7 linked regions of the Cricetulus griseus genome follow. The protein of the gene in region 1 interacts with the protein of each later gene in a pairwise test. Links are inferred from orthologs where the notes say so. Each region holds a gene or a part of one and is shown in the gene's direction. Other genes may lie near its edges. The genes, in order: Exoc1, Ccdc88a, swi5-dependent recombination DNA repair protein 1 homolog, Srgap2, Cep295, Resf1 and Nup54.

Region 1 (3,500 bases):
TTGTCTAGTTTTTGCTATAAATTATATTCTCTGAGCATTTCAGTTCATTTGGTTGATGTTTGTGTGTAATAATGGAAGCCTGGCTCTTGGATATGTGAGGCAAGAGTGCTACCACGCAGCTACATACCTAACCATTTACATGGTATTTTTTAATAGTCTTTTTTTTTTTGTCCCCCCAAAACAGCTTCCATTTTTAATTTTTAAATAGATTTTATATTAACAATGAAAAGTGATAGGATCAAAATCAAATGAACTTTTACATTTTTTTTTGTTCTAGGAAAACCCTGAATTTGATTTACATTTTGAAAAAATCTATAAGTGGGTTGCCAGCAGCACTGCTGAAAAGAATGCATTCATCTCATGCATTTGGAAACTGAATCAGCGCTATCTCCGCAAAAAGATTGACTTTGTCAATGTTAGCTCACAGCTTTTGGAAGGTAAAAGAAAATGAAAGTTTATATGTGTGGTCAAGTGTATCCTTAATGAATATATAATTTGGTGTTATTTAAAGTAATTAGGATACTGAATTTACTTCACAATATGTCATAAAAAATTTCAAAGTAATTTTTCTTAGTGAAGACGTTATGAGTGTACATTATAGGATTTTGGTATATTAAATTTAAAAAGTAGCCGGGTGTTGGTGGCGCACACCTTTAATCCCAGTACTCACTCAGGAGGCAGAGGCAGGTGGATTCTCTGTGAGTTCGAAGCCAGCCTAGTCTCCAGAGCAAGTGCCAGGATAAGCCCAAAAGCTACACAGAGAAACCCTGTCTCGAAAAACCAAAGGGAAAAAAAAAATTAAAAAATAAAGTCACTCATAAGCCTGGACTTGGTGGCACAAGCCAATAATCCCAGCTACTTGGGAGGTTAAGGCAGAAGGATTGCAAGTTCAAGACCTGCCTCAGCTCCAGAGTGAGGCTTTTGGACAACTTAGTGAGACTGTCTAAAAATAAACACTGATGGCTAGAAATGCAGTTTATTGGTAGAGCACTTGCCTGGCATGTGCAGAGACACTGGATTCAATCTCAATACTTAAAAAAATGCCCAATTATAAAGATATTCCTAGGAGATAACTGCTGTTAAAATTTTGGTGTATTATTCTTCTAGGCTTTTTTCTATGAATACTTAAATAATTTTCTTATAGAGAAATTTACACTTTTGTTTCCTAGCGTTCTTTTTTTTTCATATATGAATTCAGCCCAAACATTTATTATGTTACTAAATACTTACTCCAAACATTTTTTAGCATCAGAGTATTCCATTGTCTGGCTATGCCATTATGTGTTTATTATGGTTCCTGCCCTTTCTTATTTTAAACAGCTGTGGGATAAATGTCCCCACAGCACTACTTTCTTGCCTACCATGGACATAGTAATAACTAGTACAGTTCTGGCCTTATACTGCCCGAGTTTAAATTCTGGCAGTTCCCATTGTTTCTAAAGTAGAGATGATGATAGTATCTACCTACAGTTATTATAAATATCCCAGGTTTATAGTAAATGCTCCGTAAATCTCATTTCTTCTTAGCAGCATGGAATCCTTAGACAAGAGGTTAATGAGGGTATTTGTGAGTTATCTGCCTTTGCAAATGTTCCTATGGACTGTTGTTCTGTGTCTCAGGACAACCTCTTCTCTGAAGTATTAGAATGTTCAGAAAGATTACATTCTTTGAAAGGATTTCTTTCCTAAGGGTGTAAGCAGTATATGGAAATGGTTCTGAATTGCCCATGGATGCAGTTAGTATAGTACTCTCTATCCCAAAGAAGAAAACTGGTCTTTTATTGTTTTGAGACAGGATCTCGCTATGAAGCCCAGGCTAGTTTACAATTCACTGTGTAGTAAATTCCAGGCTGACTTTGAACTCTCGAGGCTAGGCCTCCTGCCTAACTTTCCCAGTGAGCCATCATGTCCGCCTTAAAACTTCATTTATGTGTTTATTGGGAGGAGAACATGTGCATCCCATGGCACCTGTGTGGAGGTCAGAGGACAAAGTTGTGGAGTTCTCCCTTTCATCTTTATATGGTTTCCAGGGATTGCATTTGGGTCACCAGGCAAGGTTCTATAACCACCAAGCTATTCTCTGGCCCAGTGTTCAATAATTTATGATATAGTTTGAAGCAAACCATTTATCTGGCCACTTGCCTCTTTTGTTTTATTTAGCTATAGACTTTTCTCCTTTCAAGTAGATGATTCTTTCCCAGCAGTTCTACTCTCTGGCCTTGATGCTTAGAACTGGCAGATATTTATATCTGGCAGATCTGAGCAGCCCCCACACCTAAACCTCTTCCCACTGAGACACTGGCCTAGGTTAGGAGCATCAAGGCGCTGCCATATCACTAGTGTCTGACTGCAGGGTGTGTGGACTCCCTAGGAATTTTTCTTACCTTCAATTACAGATTCATTTTCTTTGAATGACTTTGGAGATTTTTGTTTTGCGTGTTACCAATTGAGGCAAGAATACTCTCATAAGTCAGTCACTCATTGAAAAGCTTGCCATTCTGTTTTCAAATATTATGTGTTTCCAGATGTTATTTATTCCTAATATGCTGACATGTATAATTAGTAAATGTCTCTAGGTTTTGGATAATTTTGGGGTGGAGGGAACCTCATTACCACCTTATGTGAAGAGCTAAATAGTCACCCAAGTAAGTTGATGCTATTGTAACCGTTCATGTAGCAGAGGCAGCAGCAACTTTCATAGTTTCTAATAAATGACAATTGAACATTGGAGTTTTAGAGATGGAGAGGGAAGTTCTGTTTTCTATTTTTTTCTTTTGACTTGCAGCTAGATTGTTAAATAATCTTCCACTCGAACCTTTGAATGCCTGCTTGCATTGCTGTCTCCTTTGTTTGTTTCTTACCTCAGTCGTATTCTTTGAAACAGTGTTTTGTGACTAATCCTTTGTGAAGGAGTGTCCTGGAAAGCTTTGGACTTGGAGTGAAAATAACTACACTAAATGCATGAGTCACAACTGACCTAAAAATACTCCCCAGGAAATGATTTAGTTTCCCAGTTTTCTTCTTCAAGGACTAGTCAGTACTGTTTCTGACAGACTGAGAGGAGATACAGAAGGACACTTTTACACAGCGAAGAAGAAAAACAAGCATGAAGTTCAGCTTCTTAGGAATCTGTCCACTGTGGCTGGTTTTGGCAATGCCCTTAGAACCCATGTTCCGCATGAAGTTCAAATGAGATATGGGTAGTAGTTAAAAGTTTTAAATCTGTACACTATTTTCTACCCAGCTAATATTCTCTGCTTACTTTCCTCTGCTTTTCTCGTACCTTTTACTCTCCAGAACTGCCTAAAGTTACAGAAGGTGCGTAACCCTGTTCTTCTTACTCTATTCCATGTGTATATGTTACTTGCCCCTGTTGTATACTATTGGTTGCATATTTTATGGAGTTGTATACAAGGATAAATTTATTACAAAATCCATAGAGTAATAAAAGTAATAGTACTATTCATTATTAGCTCCCAAAGGAATGTTTGAGGAGAAGA
Region 2 (3,500 bases), about 65 Mb from region 1:
TCTAGGTTGAAATTCTTGAAAATGAAATTATTCAAGAAAAACGAAGTCTTCAGAATTGTCAAAATTTAAGCAAGGATCTAATGAAAGAGAAAGCTCAGCTTGAAAAAACAATTGAGACATTGAGAGAAAATTCCGAGAGGCAGGTTCGTGTATTTCTCACTTGGTTGTGTTAAAGTAAATGTTTATACACCACTACAAGGAAACCAACTAGCACTTTTTAGATTTCAGACTGACTGTAATAGCTTCCTTTATGTATAGTTTTGCTTCTGCTGTTTCACTGTAAACTGAAGTCTGTTACAGTTCAAAATTTCAAGTCATCCAATGTATCCAGCTATTTCTAAAAGTTAGCAATCTGTAAAGTCTGAGTTGTCTATACTTCTGAGTAGTGTCATGAAATCTGGTCCCATTCCAGGTGATGCACATGAATGGTTATTTTGCACACAAGTTTCTCCTTGTATATCCACTGCCTGCCTATTACTGCTGTCACAGTGTTTTCATTCAGGTCATCCTGACTTCACTTGATAATGGTCCTAAGTTGCAAAAATAGTAATACTAGCATTTCGATATGTCAAGGAAACTAGTAAGTGCTTCCTTAAGATGAGAAGTTTAAAGTTTTCCACATAGTAAAGAAAGGAAGAATATATACAGGGCTATGATAAAATTATTGTTAGTCTCTTACTGTGCCTAATAAATGATCAACAGTGTGTGGAAACAAAACAGTACATACAGACTCAGAACTCTTTGCAGTTTCAGGTTGTCTGTGGGGGATCTTGAAATATATTTTGTCTGGTTAGGGAGGAACTGCTATACCATTGTACATATTCTATACCATAATTTTAGAAAATTGGAAGAGAAGCTTAGAAAAATGTAAATTGCCAGTTTACTTAATAACAATTGATTATAAATGTTCTTCAGTTCCTGTGCTTTTCACATGTCTGTAGAATAGCCCTGCAGATTTTAAAGACAAGTTGGAGAATGCACAGTACTCCCTCCATGGTAACAAGGAAGGAGTGAGATGGCAACAAACATCTTGAAACTCAGAACAGGTTATGCTACAAATTGGATGGATTTGTTTTTAGATGGACTAGGTCATTTTGTTGTTTATATGTTACTCAGTTAAAATTTCCTTTCACAAATGATTACACACACAAAAACAAATAAGGTACACATACTTACCAAGGACCCACCTTATGTAGGCAAAATAAAGATTATTTGATGAAAATTAAAACCTTGTGTCTTTAAGGATATTTGAAGTAGATTAAGTCTTAAATAATCCGAACATCATTTTAATTGTAAATACTTGATTCTTAGATATTCCTTTAGATTGTTAAGTCCCTGAAAACATGAACTTAGTGGTCTGAAAGTGCATCTACAAGGTGGTCTTTCAGAAAACATTGTCATGTTAAAAATAGTGAGCCATATACTCCAGTACCCATGTTCTTTTCTTGTTAGTTTTTGATAGCTTAAAGACTATGCTTATGCATTGTAATTTTACATTTTCTTCTTTTTTTCAATTAGATTAAAATACTGGAGCAGGAAAATGAACATCTGAACCAAACAGTGTCTTCCTTACGACAGCGATCCCAGATTAGTGCTGAGGCAAGAGTGAAGGACATTGAAAAAGAAAATAAGATTCTCCATGAATCTATCAAAGAAACAAGTGGAAAATTAAGCAAGATGGAATTTGAAAAAAGACAAATGAAAAAAGAATTGGAGCATTATAAAGAAAAAGGAGAGCGAGCAGAAGAACTTGAAAATGAGTTGCATCATCTTGGAAAAGAAAATGAATTGTTACAGAAGAAGATAACTAATTTAAAAATTACTTGTGAAAAAATTGAAGCATTGGAACAAGAAAATTCGGAACTAGAAAGAGAAAATAGAAAATTTAAAAAAACTTTGGATAGCTTTAAAAACCTTACTTTTCAGTTAGAATCCCTAGAAAAAGAGAATTCCCAACTTGATGAGGAAAACTTGGAACTGCGAAGGAACGTGGAGTCTCTGAAGTGTGCAAGTGTGAAAATGGCCCAGCTCCAGCTGGAGAACAAAGAGCTAGAGAGCGAGAAGGAACAGCTCAAAAAGGGCCTGGAGCTCATGAAAGCCTCTTTCAAGAAGACTGAACGCTTGGAAGTTAGCTACCAGGGGCTAGACACAGAAAATCAAAGGCTACAGAAAGCTCTAGAAAATAGCAATAAAAAAATACAACAATTAGAGAGTGAGCTACAAGACTTAGAGATGGAAAATCAAACATTACAAAAAAACCTAGAAGAATTGAAAATATCTAGCAAAAGACTTGAACAACTAGAAAAAGAAAATAAATCATTAGAGCAAGAGACATCTCAACTTGAAAAGGATAAGAAACAATTGGAGAAGGAAAATAAGAGACTCCGGCAACAAGCAGAAATAAAAGATACCACGTTAGAAGAAAATAATGTAAAAATTGGAAATTTGGAAAAAGAAAACAAAACTTTATTTAAAGAAATTAGTGTATATAAAGAATCCTGTGTTCGTCTGAAAGAATTAGAAAAAGAAAATAAGGAGCTTGTAAAAAGAGCAACTATTGATATTAAAACTCTGGTTACATTACGTGAGGTAAATATATTCACCTAAACTTAAGCAAACATTTTTTATATTTGTAGCCCATGTTTTATTGAACCCACTTTTAACTTGTATCATCTTTCCTATACTTCAGTAAAATTTTGGAATTAGAACTAGAAACAATTTCTAACTGTCCTATTTAGATGAAAAGTTTAAATTACATTTAAAAATTAATTGGAGTAAGTGTTTTTACCAGGAACTTGGCTAAAGAGTCCCATGCAGAGTATATTCAAGTAAATTGATACGATTTTCATAACCAATCATTTAAATACTATCTATCTTTCATAATAACGAATAAGTTCAGAAATATTAACTTCCTCAGAATCACAGAGTTAATAAAAGAATTGAATTTCTGCTCGAAATTTTAGATCTTTCAAACTCCAAAGCGCTGTGACTTTTTTTTTTAGAAGCCTGAGCATGAAAATCAGGTTCAACTTAAACTGCAACACTGAACTATTGAGAATTCTGACATTTCTAAAATTTGGTGACATCTCCTGTAATACTTGCTACATCAGAAATATGTCAGAATGGAGTCTATGCTCAGTTTAAAGTATGGGGATGGATGCTGGCATGAGGACAGGGTTGGTTATTTTACAGTTCTGTGTCTGAATTTCTTCTTTGAGGCCTTAAGAAGGAACTTGCCAATATGAGCAACATGCCAATAAAAAATGTTGCTAGTTCTTGAGATCAGTGTGTTAGGCCTCTTCCTTCTACCACAAGAAAAGAGGTTTGTCCTAGTGGAAGGGTGTTGTATCTTATGTAAGTTCATAGGAACAAATTGCACATAAGTTTCTGTGCTTCATTAAAGCCCTTGAGTATGTTGGAGGTTCCTTACTGTTTTCAAATCCATCTTGTGTGTTTACCAGGACAGACTTTCTTATCATTTTATAACACAGCATTAGAAA
Region 3 (4,291 bases), on another chromosome or scaffold:
CAAGGCAAGAAAGTCCCTTTTTGCAGTGAGATCAACTCCTACCAGGGAAAAAGTGAGGATTAGTGGGCAGAGTGATCTGTGCGCTGGCAAGTAGCACCTGTATCATAAAATCATAAATTCTGTTGTTGGTGTCCTGAAGTTGGTAAGGTTAATTCATGTTTCTTAAACATTTAGGAGTGAAATATTTATTAATAGTCATATGTGAAGACTCCATGTTTTCTGGTATTTATGGCTTAGGCTGTGTGAAATTTTGTAGGACATAGCACCATTTTGAAAAAAATCTGAGCTTTTGGGAAGAAAGGTAAGGGATAAAAGCTTGTGATACATAGCTTTAGGTCAATTAGGGGATGACGAGTATGCTTGAATAAAAAACGCCATTAAATTTTTTTGGGTAGTTGAATTGTTCTTACTGCCGTTCATAAATTATCATTTAATTTCCCCGTCTGTAGGAGGTAGATATTCTCACTTACCAAACCATCAAACAGGTACACGGCCTCTACACTGCATAGCAAAACAAAACCAAGTAAAAAACAAACAAACAAAAAAACCACTAGGGTGCCAGACTTGAACGTAGGCAATTAACTGCCCGCAACATCTACAGGCCTAATAACCTCATTAAGTTTCTGCTGCTTAGGACTCTAATCACTTTTTTCTGGCACTTCAAAGGCACCGTTAGAACACGTCTGTAACAAGAGTGGTCCTTGCCATTGCAAACTTCCAAGTGACTCACAAGTTACTCAGCTGCTTTCCCTACGCCCAGGGCTCCACCCAAGCAAGCTGCTTCCCTCGGCGGTTGCCTAGCATCCGAACATCCACCCCGCCCCCGAACACCGGAAACGGAGGGGCGTTTCAGGCCGAGTCTGTAGCCTCGCAGGGTCTGAGGTGAGTTCTGCACCGACCCTCGACTGCTCTGCTTCCCGCCCTGTGCCAGAAGGACGCCCTTAGGTTACGTTTTCTCAGGTTTGACCAAAACGTGCGAAGCCACTAGCCGGGGCGGGCACAGCAAAGTCGGGGGCCAGACGGCGGCCAGGCGGGCTGCGGAGGCCCGCACCGATTCCTGGCGCGCCCGCGGCCGCGCACACTGCCCAGCGGTGACCACAAAAGGCCTGGGAAGGGCTCGCGGGCAGGGAGCGAGCAGGCCCCGCGGCTTCCGGCGCTGCCACGTCTGAGGAAAACGCGGGGAGCGAGCGACTGCCAGGGGGCGGGCGGGCGGGCGCGGGGCTCGCGCTCCTCTCTCCGGGGCACGCCCCCGGAGGCGGCACGAGAAGGCAGCCCGCGAAGGACCGCGGCGGCGGCGGTGGCGGCGGCGGCGGCAGCGCGCCCCCCTCAGGCCCGGGCAGAGAGCGTCTCGGCGCCGTCTTTCCCGGGGGCGGCCGCGCGCGCCGAGCGGAGCTGAGCCCCGAAGCGCGCCCGCCGGCCCTGCCAATCACGAGCGGCGCACGTCTGGCCCCGCCCCCTGGCTGAGGCTGGCGGCCCTGCGCGCACGCGCGGTCGGGAGCTTGGCCCAGGCACATCCGCCCGCTACGGCGGCGCTAGCCAATCGGACGTGTCTCCTCCCCCGGGCCCCGCCCCCGGGGCGAGCCCGTCTCCTGTGGCCGCTACGCTGGCTGCGGCTCTGTTGTTCTGCAGTGGGCATGGCTGACGAAGGTATGGGGCCTGCTCCCTGCGGCCGCTCCGGGCGCCCGGCCTCCGCCGGCCTGTGGCGCTGACAGAGCGGCGCTTCCCGGCGGCGCCCGAGCGCGGCCTCCCTGTCCTGCCTGTGCGGTAGAGGGCTGTGGGGAAAGGACGGGGGAGGGCCGGATACATGGCTTTCTGTGGGGAGGGGGCGGGGTAGATGGCTTTCTGTGGGGAGGGGCGGGGTAGATGGCTTTCTGTGGGGAGGGGGCGGGGTAGATGGCTTTCTGTGGGAGAGGGCGGGGTAGATGGCTTTCTGTGGGAGAGGGGTTCTTTCTGTGGGGAGGGGCGATGGCTTTCTGTGGGGAGGGGCGAGGAGGAGGGGCCAGGGGAGTGGTAGATGGCTTTCTGTGCTGGAGGCAGGGAAGGAGTGGGCTTGGGGAGATGGGGCCCAGGGAGGAGGAGATGGGGCCCAGGGAGGAGGTGATGGGGCCCAGGGAGGAGGTGATGGGGCCCAGGGAGGAGGAGATGGGGCCCAGGGAGGAGGAGATGGGGCCCAGGGAGGAGGAGATGGGGCCCAGGGAGGAGGAGATGGGGCCCAGGGAGGAGGAGATGGGTTCTGGGGAGGCTTTCCCCTTGGTAAACCAAAATAGGGTGCACATTGCTTTCTAAGGCTCCTGCCTGCAGCATTCTTGGTTCTAGGCACAAAGTTTTTAAGATTCAAGATATTTATATTATTCCAGCTGTATCACTTTTATTTGCAAAATTATCACAAAAATTAAAAAAAACAATTCTCGATTATGTAAAGTTAGTTCCCTTCCTCCCCGAAGTGCAATATTTTTGAGATATTTTAAGGAGAACAGTGAGAGTCAATGGCATAATAGCCGGTTAATTTGTTGTGAAAAAACAAAACCTTGTTCTCCCCATGGGGAGAAGTAAATGAAAAACTTCGAAAAGAATTAGAAAAAATCACAGCTATATATAATTGGAAGAAATTGCTGGCTTTTTGGTGTTTTGTACACTAAGGAAAATTTTGTTGATTAAAATTGAAATATTAATTTGATCACCATGCCTTTTCCTTTTTAGAAGGAAATCAGGAGTTTGCTTCCAAGATGGAGAGCGCATCAGATTCAACATCCACCAAGATGGAGGGTGCAGTAGATTCAGCATCTAACAAGGTGGAGAATACATCAGATTCAGAATCCACCAAGCTGGAGAGCGAATCAGATTCAACATCCGTCAAGATAGAGAGTGAATCAGATTCAACATCAACCAAGCTGGAGAGCGAATCAGATTCATCATCCATCAAGGTGGAGAGTGCAGTAGATTCAGCTTCTGCCAAGATGGAGATCGAATCAGATTCAACATCCGCCAAGATGGAGAGCACATCAGATTCAGCATCGAGCAAGGTAGAGAAGAGCACATCAGATTCATCATTGAGCAAGGTGGAGAAGAGCACATCAGATTCAGCATCGAGCAAGGTGGAGAAGAGCACATCAGATTCAGCATCGAGCAAGGTGGAGAAGAGCACATCAGATTCAGCATCGACTTTACCTGACACTCCGGGGACCAGTGATACTCTACCATCACCCCAAACAAATACTTTAGGAAGACAAGTATGAAAATCTTGCTTTCCACCCCCTTTCTGTGTTTTGAAATGTTCTGATAGTGGCAGTTTTAAGGACCCTGGAGTGTCAGTGTGTAGCCTGTGCCTTCCTGTCTTTGCCAGATTTTCTTCTTGAATCAGTTCATTTTGTTGAGTTTCTTAGCAGGTTATTGAGATTCTTCAAATTTGAATTATATACTATTCCTTAGGGAAAGTCTTTGGTGACAGGTCTTTTCCCTAGTCTGTAGTTTTGAAGCATTTCTAGTGTTGCCAGGCAAGTGCTAGCTGCTGAACAAATACTCCTGATGACTGGGAGAAGTGTCTCAGGCCTAGTTTAGGAAGTTAACCTTGCTAAAGTAAGACTAAAGGAGCTTCTGGGAAATAAAGGCATTAGTGATACTTGCTTGAGATTTGTGGAGACAAAAAGCCGCCCATTGTACGTACTATAGAAATGTACGGTCTTTATTTCTAATAGATTGATTCACTTGAAGAATGTTTTCTTAGACAGGCAGTGGTGGCACATGTCTTTAATCCAAAGAGGCAGAGAGAGGCCAGTGTATCTCTATGAGTTTGAGGCCAGTCTGATCTAAAGACCTAGTTCCAGGACAGCCAGGGCCACACAAAAGTTCTGTCTTGAAAAACAAACAAAAGAATGTTTTCTTAATATTTTTGTTTGTGTCTTTTTCAGCCTATGAGTGGAACACTTAAAGAAAGATTAAAGAAAACAAGGTCTTCATCTCATTCTTTTTGTAGTGTGGTGAAACGACTTAAAGTAGAGAAGGAGGAAAATTATGAGACCTCTTCAGAACCAGGAGCATCATCAAAAGAAAAAAGCTGTTCCGAATTCCAAGGAAGTTTGAAACACAAAGACAGTGCGTCTGAAAAAGACAGCTCAGAGAATGCAAATGCATGCAAATCTAAGTCACTTGGTACTGGGTCCTCCAGTGCCCTCCAAAATGATTTTGAGAGTGAGAATACTAAAGAAAAATTAAAGGAAGAAAAAGCAAAATTGGCAAAGCAGGTTCAAGAGAAGGAAGAACTTCTTCGGAGATTAAAACTTGTCAAAATGTA
Region 4 (3,500 bases), on another chromosome or scaffold:
GTACTCATGAATTTCCAATTGCTTGATTTATTATTGTATTTTAATTTGGAAGCTGCCTATGTGGAAACAGAAATTTCCTGCAGAGTAAGGTCAGCTCCTGTGTGGCTGGAAGTAATATATTTGAGAGGACTAAAAATTAGCTGAGATTCTATCTTCTGGCCTTCTTGCCAAGAAATAATATTCAATTCCTGGACAATAGCTCTTTTGGAAAATTTGAAAATTTTATCCCTCGCCCCTCCCTTCCCCCATTCCCTGTCTGTTTTTTAAGGCAAGGTCTCTATGTAGTCTTGGGTGTCCTAGAACTCGCTATGTGGACCAGGCTGGCCTTGAACTCACTGAAATCTTCCTGTACTACTTCTGGAGTGCAGGAATTAAAGGCATGTACCACTATACCCAACCCTATGTCCCCCGCCTTATGTTACTTTCTGCTTGTGGCCAATCCCAGTTACACTTGATATGTAATTTCTTCTTTCAAAGCCTCTTACCTGAATTATGCAGGTCTACAGCCTTCACAGGACATTGTTTGGGCTGTAGAATTGTTAAATGAATGAAACTAACAAGGGGTGGTAACTGCTATTGACGTGTTTCTGTGAGAGCAAGTGTCTAATGAGATAAAGCAGACCAGAACATTTGGAACTTTTTCTTCTTCCTTGCTTTATATTTGAAAATATAGAGTATTCCTTTGGTCATGTTGCCTTTTGCCTTTAGGGTCTGAAAGAGGTGTTGTTATTTCTTGTTTTACTTAGTATCACTCGGTGACTAAGCAATAAAGATTACTGAGCCAATATAAAGGTCATGCTTACAGATAATGATGAATGAAAGTAAAAACATTGATGAAACTTATATGGAATCATTGCAGTAACCATCCTATACTTATGCATGGTCCTTCATATATATGTATTGAACCAGACATTCCCTGGAGGAATATGAATATTGCTTCATGTAGAGTTGATGCCATTTGTGTGACCTCTGGATGGAAATGCCTTGCAGGTCATGAAAACATACCACATGTACAATGCTGACAGTATCAGTGCTCAGAGCAAACTAAAGGAAGCAGAGAAGCAAGAAGAGAAGCAAATTGGTAAATCAGTGAAGCAAGAGGACCGGCAGACACCCCGCTCCCCTGATTCCACTGCCAATGTCCGCATTGAGGAGAAACATGTCCGGAGGAGCTCTGTGAAGAAGATTGAGAAGATGAAGGAGAAGGTAGATGTGCTCTGGCAACTCTAGAGACAGAAAGGGATGTTCAGAAGGCAGGATTGAGGAATTCCCCAGTAGGTGTCATGAAGAGCTAAACAAAGCAGCTCTAGTTCCTTTAGTGCCGAATCATTCTTTGTCTTACCATGAATCCTAGCTATTGGAGAACCTAAGCATATGAATTCTCAGACTTCAATTTCAAGTGTATTGACAAGAATCAGTAGTCACCTTACTCAGCTCATTTTCCAAATGGAGTTGAATGTCCTATTGCTTTAAGAAGTAGGGGAGACTGTGGACCTTGTAGTTTGGCTTTAAAATACCAGGGTTCACGGGAGACGTGGAAGTACCTTCTCCAGGGTGACAGCAAGGGTGGAGAATAGTATGTGAAGACAGAATCAAAGTAGAGTACACATCTGAACCATATTCATCTCATTAATCAGAATTAGAATCCAGCTTAAAGCAGATGTACACAGGGAGTAGCAGCAAAGTGGAAGCTCTTGGCGTGCTGTCCTTCACCTCTCACAGAACAGTTTTGACCTCTATTTTAAAAAGTAATAGTGATGGGTCAGCAAAATGGCTCATCGGATAAGTCACTGCCACTGAGCCTGACAACCCGAGTTCAATCCCAGGAACCCACATGATAGGAGAGAAATGACTTCTACAAATTGCCCTCCAATCTCCACAAAAACACAAAGGCATATGTGCATGGAAACACACACACACACACATACCACATCATATGAAATAAGTAAACATTTTTAATGTTTTTAACTTTAAAAAATGACTAAAAGTGAACTTGTGTTTTCTTTTTAGCGACAAGCCAAGTACACAGAGAATAAGCTGAAGGCCATTAAAGCCCGGAATGAGTACTTACTGGCTTTGGAGGCAACCAATGCATCTGTCTTCAAGTACTATATCCATGACCTGTCTGATATTATCGATGTAAGTACTTAAAGCTGGTGTGGGAGGCTGTGGGTATCTCTTTGCCTCATTTCAGAAGCCTACACTTCACATGTTCCCCATTTCTGTGTTCAGACATGTTGGCCACTTTGAGACCAATTTGAAGGTAGCAGCCATGATCCACTGTGTAAAGGTGATGCACTTTACACTTGATATCATTCATTCCTCACAGCATTCATGAGAGAAAAGCAAATACCATCTATAATATTGACTGACATTCAGAGAGTTTAGTGATTTACCCAGAATTAGTAAAAGGCTGAGACAAAATTTGTACCAAATTCTGATTCCTAAACCCATGTGCTCTTCTGTTTGTCAAATAATAGTCTCTTATATCAGAAGCTTGTAGAAAGAAGCAACACAAGAGTTAAAATGCCTTCCTTTATGTTTATATAACAATCCATGTTTCTTGTTGTTTTCTAATTTCATTGTCACATCACTCTTATAGATACTCAATGCTCTCTTAATTTGTGATCCAGAGAGCTTAGAGACCTACTTGCCCAAGGTTTTGGGTCTGCATTGTGCTGCAGACTAGGGTCCTATCTAGATGGCATCCAGATGCTACTGCTATCTGCTCTGTTCTCTTTTGAGAAAATGGCACAAAAATGAAAAAAGGAAGGGGGGCTAGTACGCATACATGTTTTATTTGTGGGTTACGCTTTGCTTTGATTTCTTACTGCTTCTCCTCAATCTCTGTGTCCTAAAATGTCTCTCACATTCAGAATGTAGTCCAGCCCAATTCCTGGACCAGCTTTGTATGAAGCTATGTAAGCAAACCCTTTCTCATGTCTTCTTTGAGTCACCAAAGTGCGCCTGGAGCCAGCTGATTGAGCATCAGCAGTCCAGTCTCTAGGACATCAGCAGTATTCTTTCTGAGACCTGGTATCTGCCTTGGGTTCTTGTCAATAGCAGCTGAGCTTGCAAGACTCAGCACGTGGTTTTCCACCTTGGTTTCTTCACAAGCATACCTGCTATGCTTTACATCATGTGGGGAATCTGGGCGCAGATTCACTATTATATAACTGATTAGCACATCTTAGGCTTGCTTCTGAACTAATCTGGAACCCTGCTCTATTTCCTACCACTCTACCCCTAGTAAAATAAAGACCTGGACTGTTTAAATCTGGCCTACATCAGGGTTGCTGGGGGAACTTTTCTAAAATACAGACTAGTTTCCTTTCAGCCAGGGAGTTTTGATCTGTAGGGTTTGGCCTCCTAAGGCCTTAGATGTCATCGTCTCAGCTGGTAAGTGGAGCCTTGGTCTGCATTCAGGCTCCTCTTTGTTCTCTTTGCTTGTTGATGCCAATCTGAACACTGTCCTTCAGTGGAGGTCAAACCCTACACCA
Region 5 (4,072 bases), on another chromosome or scaffold:
ATTGTGTGTCAGACTTGTGCTTTCAGATCAGCTTGTGTAGAGTCACTTGATGAAGAATTTACACAGCGAGGCTCCAGATTCATACCCCAGCATAAACTTAGGAATGTGTTCATTTTTGCTGGTTCCAGTAAGAACAATTACTACAAAATACCGTTGGCCCAGTTTAGGACATGTACCCATGCATGGGCCAGTCACATAGGCAAGAGAGAGGATGGCAATTGTCCTTTCTTGATCATACTTCTGTGACCTGAGGGGCTGGATCTATATCAAAGGGCAAAGTTTTAAACAAGAAAGAAAACACTCTAACAGAAGACCTTATAGTTTTTGAGAATGTGCAAAGTGCCTTCACATGATTATTAACTTTGAGTGTCCCGTGGACTCAGGGACGAGGGCAAGTCAAGTATTACTAAGGATTAAGATGCCCACAAAGAATTTCCTCCTAACTTGCATTTGGGCTGGCCCTGACACTTAGCCAGTAAAATGCGGCAAATTTTACAATTCCTCAGCTTCCCTGCAAAAGCACTCAGCAGCCTCACTCTTTCCCCGGAGAATGCTCTCTTAGGACATTCCCTGTGAAAACACAGGGAACAAGCAGTGAGACAGATGTCTGGTCCCCATGGCAAAGGAACAGGGAGCCAGGCACTCCACTGAACACTTCCAGCAGAACCCTTCGCTTAGGAAACAGATGCCAGGTGAAAAGAACACGCCACTTTGGACATTCCAGGGTGGCTTGGTCTACAACAATAAAGGTCTAAAGTAAACTACGACTCCAGGGGTTTAGGGTCCAGGCTAGCATGTAATAAGTAAGAGTCGCGATGTGCAGCCTGACGCTCTCTCAGCCTACTGCGCTTGCTCTGATTCCTCCTGGTTTCCCATTAAAAACGGAGCACGTCTCAATCCCCAGTTTCCACTTGGGAAATGTTCTTTCCAAGACGTCAGCCTGGTAAAGCACAACATTTGTCCAATCAGCAGGTCAACAGTGCCAGGCAACTGAACCAAACGCGCCTCAAGAACAAGAAGGACTGATGTCCCCTTTCATGGCCCGCCAGAGAGCTTCCCTTTCCCACATCTCTGCTTTCGGGTCTGTGACACAGCGCCAGACCGTAGTTGTGAGAAATAATGGGCCACGGCGCAAAACTGCGCGTGCGCGCATGTAGGCAGGGCTACGCGTGCGCGGGACCACACGTGGGCGGGGTCTCGGCACGGCGAGGCCTACCCGGCGGCCCCGGCGGAGGCGGGAGCAAGGTGCTTCCCGCCGTCCGCTCCCGCCATTGGCGGGCCGTTTGAATGGCGGAAGTGACGAGAACCTGGCGATGGTCGTCCCGCAGGGGCCCAAACGGCTGCTGGGTAGCAGGCCGCCTGTGGACGCCCGTGTGCCGTGAGGTCCAACTGCACACGCTGCCAGGTGAGTGACGGAGGCCCGCCGGGGTTCTCCCCGCAGGCCGCGAGCAGGCGGGCGAGCCTTCCGGCCCTTTAAACCTCCCGAGGCGGGTCCTGCAGAGAGCGTGGCGCTTCTGTGCAATCCGACCCCCGGAGACTCCTGTCACAGTGGGCTTTGAAAAAATGGCAGTCTCAGCCGGGAGTGTTGGTTCACCCAGAGATCCCAGCACTCTTTCGGGAGGTATTAGTGCCTCGAGTTCAAGGCTAACCTATGCGACAAGAAACTACGGTACCGAATGCTTGTTAGTCTATTATTATTATTATTATTATTATTATTATTATTATTATTATTATAATGTGTTCGGCGGTTTCGCAGCAATTAAGCCACACTTAGTACAACCCCGTGTGGTGGGTATTACTACCGTTACAAGGAGTAAAGAAACGGGACCCAAGGGATTTCAGACTTGGCTACTGCCTTCTGCTAGTGAATGGCAGTGTTGGCTTTTGCATCCACGTCGGTTAAGTCTAGTGTTAATGTTGTGATTACTGCGTGTCAGATACTACTGCTTAATTATCGCAATGAAATATATCAGGGTAAGTCCTATTGTATCTATTATTGCACAGTTACAAAGCATAGAACTTGGAAATCCACACGGATAGAAATGACTTGTGAATAAACCAGACAACAGGATTCTACTTGATAACTGTAGAAGGAATAATTTTCTCCTATGGGAAACAATTTGCAATATTCCTCCCTTGGATCCCCAGCCATCCTTTAGAGTTTGCTTTTTTTTTTTTTTTAAGAATATCAATGGGATGTATTGGAAAAGGTTTTCAACTCAAGCAATTACTCCTGTTTGACATCAGAGCCCTCTTGTATATAACCATGACTTGGTCTGCCCATGTAGTACTGTACTAAGTCACTGTCTAATTCAGTCCACCCTAAATTATCTATAAAGTGCAAGACAGCTTTTTTAGACAGAAACATAAGGTGATGAATACAACCACCCTTGTCCTGGCCACACTTGTGATGGAGAATTTGATGAAAAAAGTATTGGTTCCTACCAGGTTACCCAAGCACTTCATCAAAACAGTATTTTTAAGTTATTATATTTACTTGAGTATTGAGAATTTAAACAAAACTATAGCTACAAAAGACAAATAGTAATTAGTGAAAAGTAAAGGACAAGCCATCCCTTTATGAAAATGCATATAGATAGTCTATATTCTAGGTAAGATGAGTGAGTAAAGTAGAAGGGGCTAAGCTTAAACTAGCTTCACAGAGCTGCAAATACCCAGTAATACAGTTGCCTGCTCATCACTATGAAGAGACCAGAGAGATGTGCACTCATCTCATATAAAATCACAATGGTGTGGTGACGCTAAGTGATCATGGGAACAGGTTGGTAGCAGAATTACTTGGAAAGAGTTTTCAAATTAGATCAGCTATAGATTATCACATTCTAGTCTCCCATACCAAATTCTTCTAGTTAAGAGCATGTTAAAAATTTTAGAGAAGAGGAGTGGGACTGTAGCACAGTGGAAGTATGTACATGTACAAAGCCCTGAGTTCCATCTCAGAACCATAGACACAGAAAAGAAGTGTAGAGTGGACATCAGGGACACCCAAAAATAGCAATAGAAGAATATACCTGGGAATCTTAAGTACTTCACATATACAATTAGGATTATTCTTAGTTTTGTTTTATTTTAAAGTGGTCATTTTTAAAAAAGGATAACATATATCCTGATTAGTTTTATGTCACCATGACACAAGCTAGAGTGGTTTGGGAAGAGGAATTTCAACTGAGAAAATGCTCACATAAAATCTACCTGTAGGCACATCTGTAATACATTTTCTTGATTAATAATTGATGGGGCCTGACCCACTGTGTACTGTGCCATCATTGGGCTGTTCATGCTGAATGATATAAGCAGGTTGAGCAAGCCAGTGAGCAGAACACCTCATGGCCTCTGCATCAGCTCCTGCTTCTGTGTTCCTGCCGTTTGAGTTCCTGTCCTGACTTTCCTCAATGATGGACTATGATGTAGAACTGTAAGCTGAAATAAGCCCTTTATTCCCAAGTTACTTTTGGTCATGGTAATTGTTGAGGAATCTTTTAGACTAAGCCCATGGAATTGATAAAATGCAATAAATTTAGTGGTGCTAGGTGATTAAATTATATACAGCAAACAAGGACCCTTTTTCTTTTTGTTTACATATAGGTTACCAGGTTAAATTGTTCTTGAGAAAACATTTATTCGGTGCCAACACATCTTTTAAGTGCTTCATAAACTTTGGAAATGCCAAAACAGGGAAAAAGTAAGGTCTGAAATCTTGTCAGTCGCTATAGGTGGGGACAAACTTCTGAGCAATTCTACCCATTCTTCATTTTCTTTCTCATCCATCTGACAACCAGTGATCTAAAGACCAGATTTATAACTATTTGTAAATAAGTTGGACTTTGTTTACCTGTGTGATTTTACATGTGGGTGTATATGTATATAAATACATTGAAGTTTTGTAATTATTTTAATTGTTGCCCTATTTCTGTAATATATTTTATAGACATTCATATATTTATTTCTCTTCAATTCAGATCCTTTGAATTTAAAATACACAGAAATGAAAAGAAAGGTAATGAACACTGGGAAGCTGAGATTGAGTCCTAATGAGGAAGCCTTCATTTTG
Region 6 (3,959 bases), on another chromosome or scaffold:
AGAAGTTAGCTGGTGGCGCTATGCTTTATGGCTCTGGGTGTGCTTTACGGACAAGCGCACAGCAATGACTACAGAGCATAGCAACCACCCTGGGAGGGCCTATGGGCCATAACAACCAGTTGACCAATCAACACAGGGCAAGCCCTCCAAGGCTGGAGACACACCAATCGTGAGCCTGTGCATACCCCTAGACACTCTCCTTACGCTGCCCTATAAGATCTTTCGGGAGCCCCTAGGAGCCGTCTTTTCTGGCCATCCACCATGGCGGGTGGGTGAAAGACCCGAGCTAACATGGGGATAGCTCGTTAAATTACAATAAAGCCTTGTGCAGTTTGCAGCAAGCTCTCGAATCCGCCTGGTGATTGGGGTGACCGCCATCCTGGCCTGGGACCCCGGATACTTGAGTTTTTGGGGGTCTAACATATCTATCTATCCATCCCACCTATTTCTGTTGAGCTCAAGTCAAGAGACCCACAATTGAGACCACCACAGAGTCAGCAACCGATGCAAACACACGGGTTCATTGATTACAAGCTGGATGCAAACACACAGGGGTTTATTTACTTATTTATTTTTGGTTTTTCAAGACAGGGTTTCTCTGTGACTTTGGAGGCTATCCTGGAACTAGCTCTTGTAGACCAGGCTGGTCCCGAACTCACAGAGATCCGCCTGCTTCTGCCTCCCGGGTGCTGGGATTAAAGGCGTGCACCACCACCCAGCAACACACAGGGGTTTATTGATTACAAGCTCAAGCTTCGACTGTCAACCAAACACTTCCATGCAGCCAGTGAAGGAGAATGACTCCAAGCTCTTAGGATAAGAGGTTTTTAAAGGGAAAAATCGCAAGCAGGGCGGCACATGCTTTGGCATTTCATGATTGGGTAAGATTGTGACCTTTAAATTCATTGGCTGGGGACTAGGATAATTCTAACACAGCTACAAGAATTGCCCGCAAGGGCATCTGGGGAGAGCAGATGTAGTCATTGGCTGGCCACCCGGTATGGTCTCTTTGACTGGGGCAGGCAGTTTGTGGTTTTTCTTAGAACTGTTTATAGCTCCTTTGCCAGAGCTGAATCAGCCCTGGACCACATATGAAAACGGTGCCTTTTTTTCAAAATGAAGTTTGTTCTGTTCCTTCAGTTCCAGCTAGGCTGGGCTCATTCACTCACAGAGATCTTCCTGCTTCTCACTTCCAAATGCTGGATGTGAAGGCATGTTCCACTAAGCTCAGCCGAAGGCTTATCTGCCCGGCACTAGGACCATGGGCCTGGGCAGACGCTCGGGGGCGGAGCGCAGAGCCAGCTGGATCCGCCCAAACGGAGGCCGCCACCGGAGCTCGGCGCGGTGTGCGCGCGCTTGGCGGAGGCCTCGGTCCGTGCTAGAGGCGAGTGAGCAGCCGGAGGGGCGGCAGGTCTGCGGCTTTTGTTCTCTGATCCGGTCTCAGTCTGGCTCTCGGTCACCTCCGTCCCCACCGAGGGGACGCTGGAAGCCCGCAGCCCGCTGGGGTCGCGGCGCGGGGCGGGCGCGCGGTCTGCGGTTGTTGGCCTGACGTAGCGGGCGGTCGTGTTGCAGCTTCACGTTCCTTCCTGTCTCGGGAGGAGAAGCTGAGCTTTGTTTTGTTTTTCGGTTTCTTTCTGGCTTGTCTTCCGCGCGCCCCAGCACCGCCCCCGCCCTTGCGACCCAGCGGCTTTGCATTGCGCTCCGCCCAGGCCTGGGTGAGCGTCGCGGCCCGCAGCATCTCGGAAGCAGTTTGCATTTGTGGTACTTTGAGTGTTTTCCTAGAAAAATGAAAAAGCAGGTGAAGTGTGTGAGCTTGGCGTGCGTTCCAATAGGCCAGCAGTAGAACTTGCGTGGGCATTTAAATTGCTAAATGTGTTACTTTTAAGGAGAAATCTTAAGTTTGTTTCTTGTTGACAATCTAAGGTCTTAGTAGCCTCTTTCCTAAGCCCCAGTAGGTTTCTCTTTTACCAACCCAATAACGAAAATTGCTAACGAAGTATTTTTGCTTTGGAATTATAGGACAATAGTGGACCTGGAGGAGCACACTTGAGTTCTGGTGGCAGGGATTATTTTGAGACTACCCTAGTTTAGTGGTTTTGTTTTTAGCATAACTATTACTAATTCAGTAAACTTAGTATGCTCTCAGTATCACTTTAAGGTAGATTTGCCCTATATCTTAAAACGTTTTTTTGCTTTTCCTAGGATCAAAGGTGTGAACGTACCGTACCCCTCGTGGAAGAGACTAAAAGATAAAATTGTATTTACAGGTAAGTCTGCACCTTAAAAAGCCTGTCCTGGTTTTACTGGACAACTACTAACATTTTACCATGGAGTAATTTATTTTGGAATAAAATGTTGAATCAACACTGGCTAAACCTACAGAACTTGGCCTGGTATGCCTTTAGTTCCAGCATTTGGGAGGCCAAGGCATGCAGATCTCTTTGATATCGAGGTCAGCTTCACCTGCAGATCTAGCCAGAGCTATAGAGAAATCCTGTCTGGAAAATAATCTAGAAAACTAAAAACAAACTTCCCCCAAATGAAACCCTTACACAGTGGATTTGATGACAAAGCTTAAATAATATCGTTGGCATGGTGCCTAAAAGCACTTACTACTTACTTTTTTATTCATGCCTTAGTAAAATAGGGGAGAGATGATTGTGGGGGCAGTGTTGGAACTCTGGGCCTGATTGCTACCCTGGGAGAGGTTATATTAGTTGGTGAATTAATGTTACCTAGGCAGAGGCTAGCTCTTAATTTGTGGTTGGAATGTAGTACCAGTGACTTTTTCTTTTATTTTTATTTTTTTTTGAAAATTTGTTTTATGAGCATAAGTTGTGCCCATTTGTAAGAGTACTTGGTGTGTGGAGGCGAGGGCGTGGGTCCCCTAGAACTGACATTACAGGCAATTGTGTATCTACCATGTTGGTGTTGGGACATGAACCCAGGTCCTCTTATAGGGCCACAAGTACTCTTAACTGTTGAGTCATGTCTTTCAACCCCTATACTCAGTGATCTGGAAGGGGTTGGGGGTGGGGAAGGGTGTTTCTATCCCGTGACTATAAAGCTTCTTAGTTTGGCACTACCACTTGGTTCCATCACTCTCTGTAAAATCTCAGAAGAATTTTACTTCCCTGCTTCAGCTTCCTCATCTATAAAATGGGATCACAGTAGTACTTACATTATGGAATTGTTTGATAGGCAGTTCAATTTGGTAATTTAAAGTTAAAATACATATTAAACCCATCTCGTAGCTTAGGCTGGCCTTGAACTTGCTGTCAAGCAGGAGATGACCTGCCTTCATCTCTTTATCCTTCTGGTCTTCCTGAATGCTGGGATTAGATTTGCATTCCCTGCTTACAGCTTGTTTGAAGTCAAAGTTACCCAGTGAATTCCTGGAGTACAGTAGTCTTTCCCTAGTTCTTTCTTTCTTTCTTTCTTTCTATCACCTATTTGGTTAGTTCCTTCTCCTTTACATTATTAGTGCCATGATTTTAGGAAATCAACTGCTTAGGGAATTGTTATCTTGTTAAAGTTTAGTAATGGTGAACTTCAAGCATCTTTGTTTTAGCAGGCTTCTCTTCCCATTTCTTTGGAAGCTAATTCCTGTAAAGACATTGGGAAGCAGTTTGAGGTAAAGCAAGAATTTGTACCAACCCTGGCTATAGAAATGCAAACTAAATGCAAACTAAAAAACCTTAAGACCTTCCGGATTTTTTTTGTTTTAGAGGCACCTGTGCAGTGCTTAGAATTCCTTGTATGCTAAATGAAGTTGTAAATGAAAGGTGTAGTTCGAGCAGGCTTAGTGAGATAAGTATCTCAAGTAAGATTAGAACTATCAAACAGATATCTAAGTAAGTATTATCTTTGAGCTCTGCTATTCTCTACCTTGGGTTCTTATCTGGTCTTATACCAAGAAATCACAAAGGAGGCTAAACTCAGGTTTTTGTTTTCATATG
Region 7 (3,500 bases), about 14 Mb from region 1:
CAGAAATGCATTCTGTAGCCCAGGCTAGCCTTGTGCTAGTGTTGCAGAAGTGCAGTGCCATGTCTAGCCTGATTACCCTGCTCATTCATGAAGAGCGGGACTGCTCTAGTTCCCTTGTCCTTCTGCCATTTTCTTCTTGGTGGTGGTGGCTTTAAGGTTAGGCGAATTATATTGTTGCTGTTTCTAGCACTATCTGGTGACTGACTCAGGTTATACTTCTTGGGTCTTGCTTGCAGAAAGTAGCCCATAAATTTGGCAGAACCATGAGAGTAAATAGTTCTGGGGGTGTGGGGGTGGGGAATAGTAAGAAATATTTGGTATAGAAATATATCACTGAGCAAATTGTCTCAAAAAACAAATTCTATCACATTCATCTACCTCGTTTTGGTTTTTGTCATTTAAGTTGATTTACAAATGAGCCTAACATAGAGGTTTACTTTCAAAATTAAAAAAAAAAAAAACAAAAAAACTTTTCTCCTATGAAAACTATTTCCAACTTCAGCCAGCAGTCTTAAAACATTTGTGACTGTCGGTTATAAATCATTGTGCTGTGTTGGTATTTGTCGCTGTATGTCATAAAGTCAGTGTGTTTTAAATTGGCTGTTTTCCTCTAGGACAGAAGTTGTCATTTATGTTGTTGAGCGTTCTCCAAATGGCACCTCGAGAAGGGTCCCAGCAACAACACTGTATGCTCACTTTGAGCAAGCTAACATTAAGACACAGCTGCAGCAGCTTGGGGTGACACTTTCTATGACCAGAACAGAACTGTCCCCTGCTCAGATCAAACAGCTCTTGCAGAACCCTCCTGCAGGTATGTGCTGGAGCTGGCTAGTTGGTTATTAATGCTAGAGCTTGTCACATGTCTGCTTACTTGGAATGTATTCTTGAATACTGTGTTTTAGTCAGTTGAGTTTAAATTATGTAGCTAATACATTAGAAATTTTGGGAAGTGATAATAATTCATAATCTATCTGCGTGTAGGTAATTCACTTGAAATGTGTTGGGTTTCTTTAATCTTTGTTTTAACTATTTAAGTAAAACTTAAATGTGTTTGCTCTTTTAAAAAAGTCTAGGTATCCCAATTAAGTAGACTGATATTCTAGCTTGTCTCTCTTTCCTAGAGGTAACTATTAGTAGCGCTGGACTCTGCCGATCCTGTGTCTGTGTTGTTAAATAAAGGCATACATACTGGCTGCAGCCTGCCTTTTCACTTACAGTATTTCTTAGTATTTCTCGTGTTAGTACATGAAGATGAACTTTATTCTATTTAAACACTATATAGTATTTTATAGATATACTTTACTTAGTATTGTTTCTATGCATTAACCATTCCAAACTAAGCAGCCGTTGATATCTGTAGAAATTTATCTTAGAACACATGCACATTTAAGTTTTTTTTAGAATAAGATGCCTGGTACCTGTACTCTCAGCCTTTGTGAGATGGAATGCAGAAGATCATGAGTTTGAGGTCACAACCTGGACTACATAGTGAGGTTGAGGGCAGCCTAAGCAACATAGTATGGCACCAATACTCCCCTCTACACCAAGAAGTCCACTAGAATAAAATTCTGGTAGTGAGACTTGAATCACTGTGTTATGTTTGTTAGGTATACTGGCAAATTGCCCTTCAAAGAACTTTCTACCAATTATATTTGCAATTGTAATATATTCGCTTTCTCTCTTTCTCTTCCTCCCTTCCACCCTCTCCCTCCCATAAATTAGTTAAAAAGAGTAGTGTATTTTCCTGATGACCAGGTTGACTATCTTTTCATATTTGAGAATAGACTTTTGATGTCCTTTGCTCATTTCCTGTTCAGTTCATGGTGCTTTTGTTTTTGTGGACTCTTTCTGTGTTCTAGAGTTAGTTGTATTATACCGTATGTTGCAGATACTTCTTTCAATCCATCTTTATAAGATTATTTTTGTAATGATCATTTTTTTAAAGTAATTCCTCATGGCTCCTGAAGTCGGTGTCTAATTTTTAGAAAGCATTTCCCATACAAATATAAACGCAGAAAATCATATGTTTTAAAAGAATATCTGAATATTTTTGTTTGTGGTAGGTGTTGATCCTATTATTTGGGAACAAGCTAAGGTGGATAACCCCGATTCTGAAAAGTAAGTGTATCACCATCTTATTTTATATACAAACTGATACTTGCCAGAAAGAAAGCAAACAAATATGGGCTATTAGTTGTATTCTCGAATTTAAAGAGTTATTTTCATTGCTTTTTAAAACAGTTCTACCATGGTAAGGCAGTAAGATGAGGTGAAACTAGGTAGGAATGGAGAAACCTGAATCCTAGCCACTTACTGCATTTTCATTTATAATGCAAGTTTTTGACTGACCTGTATTTCTTCATAAAATAGGGAGGTTGAAATAGCATAGTAATTGTTGGTCTCAATGCCACAGATTAGAAATTCATTATAAAATTATATGAGGTCTATTATGAAATACATCTTCATGGTTTTCGTAATAAGTTCTGAAAAGTGACCTTGCATTTTAGATTAATTCCTGTACCGATGGTGGGTTTCAAAGAACTGCTTCGAAGACTGAAGGTTCAAGACCAGATGACTAAGCAGCATCAGACCAGATTAGATGTAAGCATATACCTTGCATTCTCTATCCTGAGATGTTTTTACCATGTGTGTGCTGTTTTTTCTTACAGGAAACTAGCACACTGCAGATCAACAGCAACAGCTTTATGCACCTGCTTTCTTTATGGTATAGCCCCTACACATAGACTTTTTTTTTTCCTTTAATTTTATGTGTATGACTGTTACCTATATGGTCTATATATCACATATCATGCCAGAGAGGGCATTGGATCCCCTGGAACTGGAATTACAGACTAGTTTGAGTGTGAAATTGAACCTGGGTCCTCTGAAAGACCAGCCAGTGCTCTTAACATCTGAACCAACTCTCTAGCCTCATGAATTTGATTTGATGTATTTTATGAGTTTAGATTTATAGCCTAGATTTATTCAAAGTCTGCTTTATTTTATTTTTTTAATGCAAGGACTTAGCAGACCCAACCCTGATTAACTTCTAAAATCAAACAAGATCTCATGCACTGTTGGTTTTCTGACTACAGATCTACTTCCACATTCTCTTTCGATTCCAATTTCATTAGACATGAGTAAGCTTACTGTTTGTAAAGCAATCCCTTTCATTGCCAGCCATTTCTGTGAATGCAGTTCTTCTTTTACACTGATTTAGCATTTCTGTATGCATAGCCACTGTTTCCCGTAAAGCCTTACAAATATTTACACATAATTGTTTTTTCTTCTTAGTGTTTCTCTGACCAAAAATTCTAGCATGATCTCTTGTGGCCTAATTTCCAGGCTCTATTATGTTAGTCTGCACACACTGAATTCATGAGTATCACCTTTAAAATAAATTGTTAGCTTCAAATTCACTTGTAGTCAAGGATGACCTTGAACTTCTGATTCCCCTCCCCTACCTCCCTAGTCCTGAGATTTCAGGTGTGTGCGCATCA

The links.
Region 2: the proteins of Exoc1 (region 1) and Ccdc88a interact in a two-hybrid assay, tested with the Homo sapiens proteins (2 studies listed by BioGRID and IntAct). The link is inferred for Cricetulus griseus from reciprocal best matches to the Homo sapiens genes EXOC1 and CCDC88A.
Region 3: the proteins of Exoc1 (region 1) and swi5-dependent recombination DNA repair protein 1 homolog interact in a two-hybrid assay, tested with the Homo sapiens proteins (2 studies listed by BioGRID and IntAct). The link is inferred for Cricetulus griseus from reciprocal best matches to the Homo sapiens genes EXOC1 and SFR1.
Region 4: the proteins of Exoc1 (region 1) and Srgap2 interact in a two-hybrid assay, tested with the Homo sapiens proteins (2 studies listed by BioGRID and IntAct). The link is inferred for Cricetulus griseus from reciprocal best matches to the Homo sapiens genes EXOC1 and SRGAP2.
Region 5: the proteins of Exoc1 (region 1) and Cep295 interact in a two-hybrid assay, tested with the Homo sapiens proteins (2 studies listed by BioGRID and IntAct). The link is inferred for Cricetulus griseus from reciprocal best matches to the Homo sapiens genes EXOC1 and CEP295.
Region 6: the proteins of Exoc1 (region 1) and Resf1 interact in a two-hybrid assay, tested with the Homo sapiens proteins (2 studies listed by BioGRID and IntAct). The link is inferred for Cricetulus griseus from reciprocal best matches to the Homo sapiens genes EXOC1 and RESF1.
Region 7: the proteins of Exoc1 (region 1) and Nup54 interact in binary tests that used the Homo sapiens proteins (3 or more experiments, as listed by UniProt). The link is inferred for Cricetulus griseus from reciprocal best matches to the Homo sapiens genes EXOC1 and NUP54.

What each region holds. Positions count from the first base shown.
Region 1 is NW_023276807.1:142,982,077-142,985,576, forward strand, and holds part of Exoc1 (exocyst complex component 1), read left to right. Parts: intron 1-277; coding exon 278-437; intron 438-3,500.
Region 2 is NW_023276807.1:77,811,636-77,815,135, reverse strand, and holds part of Ccdc88a (girdin), read left to right. Parts: intron 1-5; coding exon 6-143; intron 144-1,518; coding exon 1,519-2,589; intron 2,590-3,500. UniProt on the Homo sapiens protein: Bifunctional modulator of guanine nucleotide-binding proteins (G proteins). Acts as a non-receptor guanine nucleotide exchange factor which binds to and activates guanine nucleotide-binding protein G(i) alpha subunits.
Region 3 is NC_048596.1:13,804,928-13,809,218, reverse strand, and holds the start of swi5-dependent recombination DNA repair protein 1 homolog, read left to right. Parts: upstream 1-1,491; 5' UTR 1,492-1,634; coding exon 1,635-1,647; intron 1,648-2,700; coding exon 2,701-3,230; intron 3,231-3,908; coding exon 3,909-4,291. UniProt on the Homo sapiens protein: Component of the SWI5-SFR1 complex, a complex required for double-strand break repair via homologous recombination. Acts as a transcriptional modulator for ESR1.
Region 4 is NC_048598.1:57,700,363-57,703,862, forward strand, and holds part of Srgap2 (SLIT-ROBO Rho GTPase-activating protein 2), read left to right. Parts: intron 1-990; coding exon 991-1,206; intron 1,207-2,010; coding exon 2,011-2,139; intron 2,140-3,500. UniProt on the Homo sapiens protein: Postsynaptic RAC1 GTPase activating protein (GAP) that plays a key role in neuronal morphogenesis and migration mainly during development of the cerebral cortex. Regulates excitatory and inhibitory synapse maturation and density in cortical pyramidal neurons.
Region 5 is NC_048597.1:128,863,392-128,867,463, reverse strand, and holds the start of Cep295 (centrosomal protein of 295 kDa), read left to right. Parts: upstream 1-1,272; 5' UTR 1,273-1,287; coding exon 1,288-1,405; intron 1,406-1,471; exon of another isoform or gene 1,472-1,651; coding exon of another isoform or gene 1,652-1,682; intron 1,683-3,980; coding exon 3,981-4,072. UniProt on the Homo sapiens protein: Centriole-enriched microtubule-binding protein involved in centriole biogenesis.
Region 6 is NC_048601.1:387,014-390,972, reverse strand, and holds the start of Resf1 (retroelement silencing factor 1), read left to right. Parts: upstream 1-1,159; 5' UTR 1,160-1,411; intron 1,412-1,449; exon of another isoform or gene 1,450-1,798; intron 1,799-2,202; 5' UTR 2,203-2,267; intron 2,268-3,959. UniProt on the Homo sapiens protein: Plays a role in the regulation of imprinted gene expression, regulates repressive epigenetic modifications associated with SETDB1.
Region 7 is NW_023276807.1:157,226,286-157,229,785, reverse strand, and holds part of Nup54 (nucleoporin p54), read left to right. Parts: intron 1-614; coding exon 615-811; intron 812-2,063; coding exon 2,064-2,118; intron 2,119-2,507; coding exon 2,508-2,601; intron 2,602-3,500. UniProt on the Homo sapiens protein: Component of the nuclear pore complex, a complex required for the trafficking across the nuclear membrane.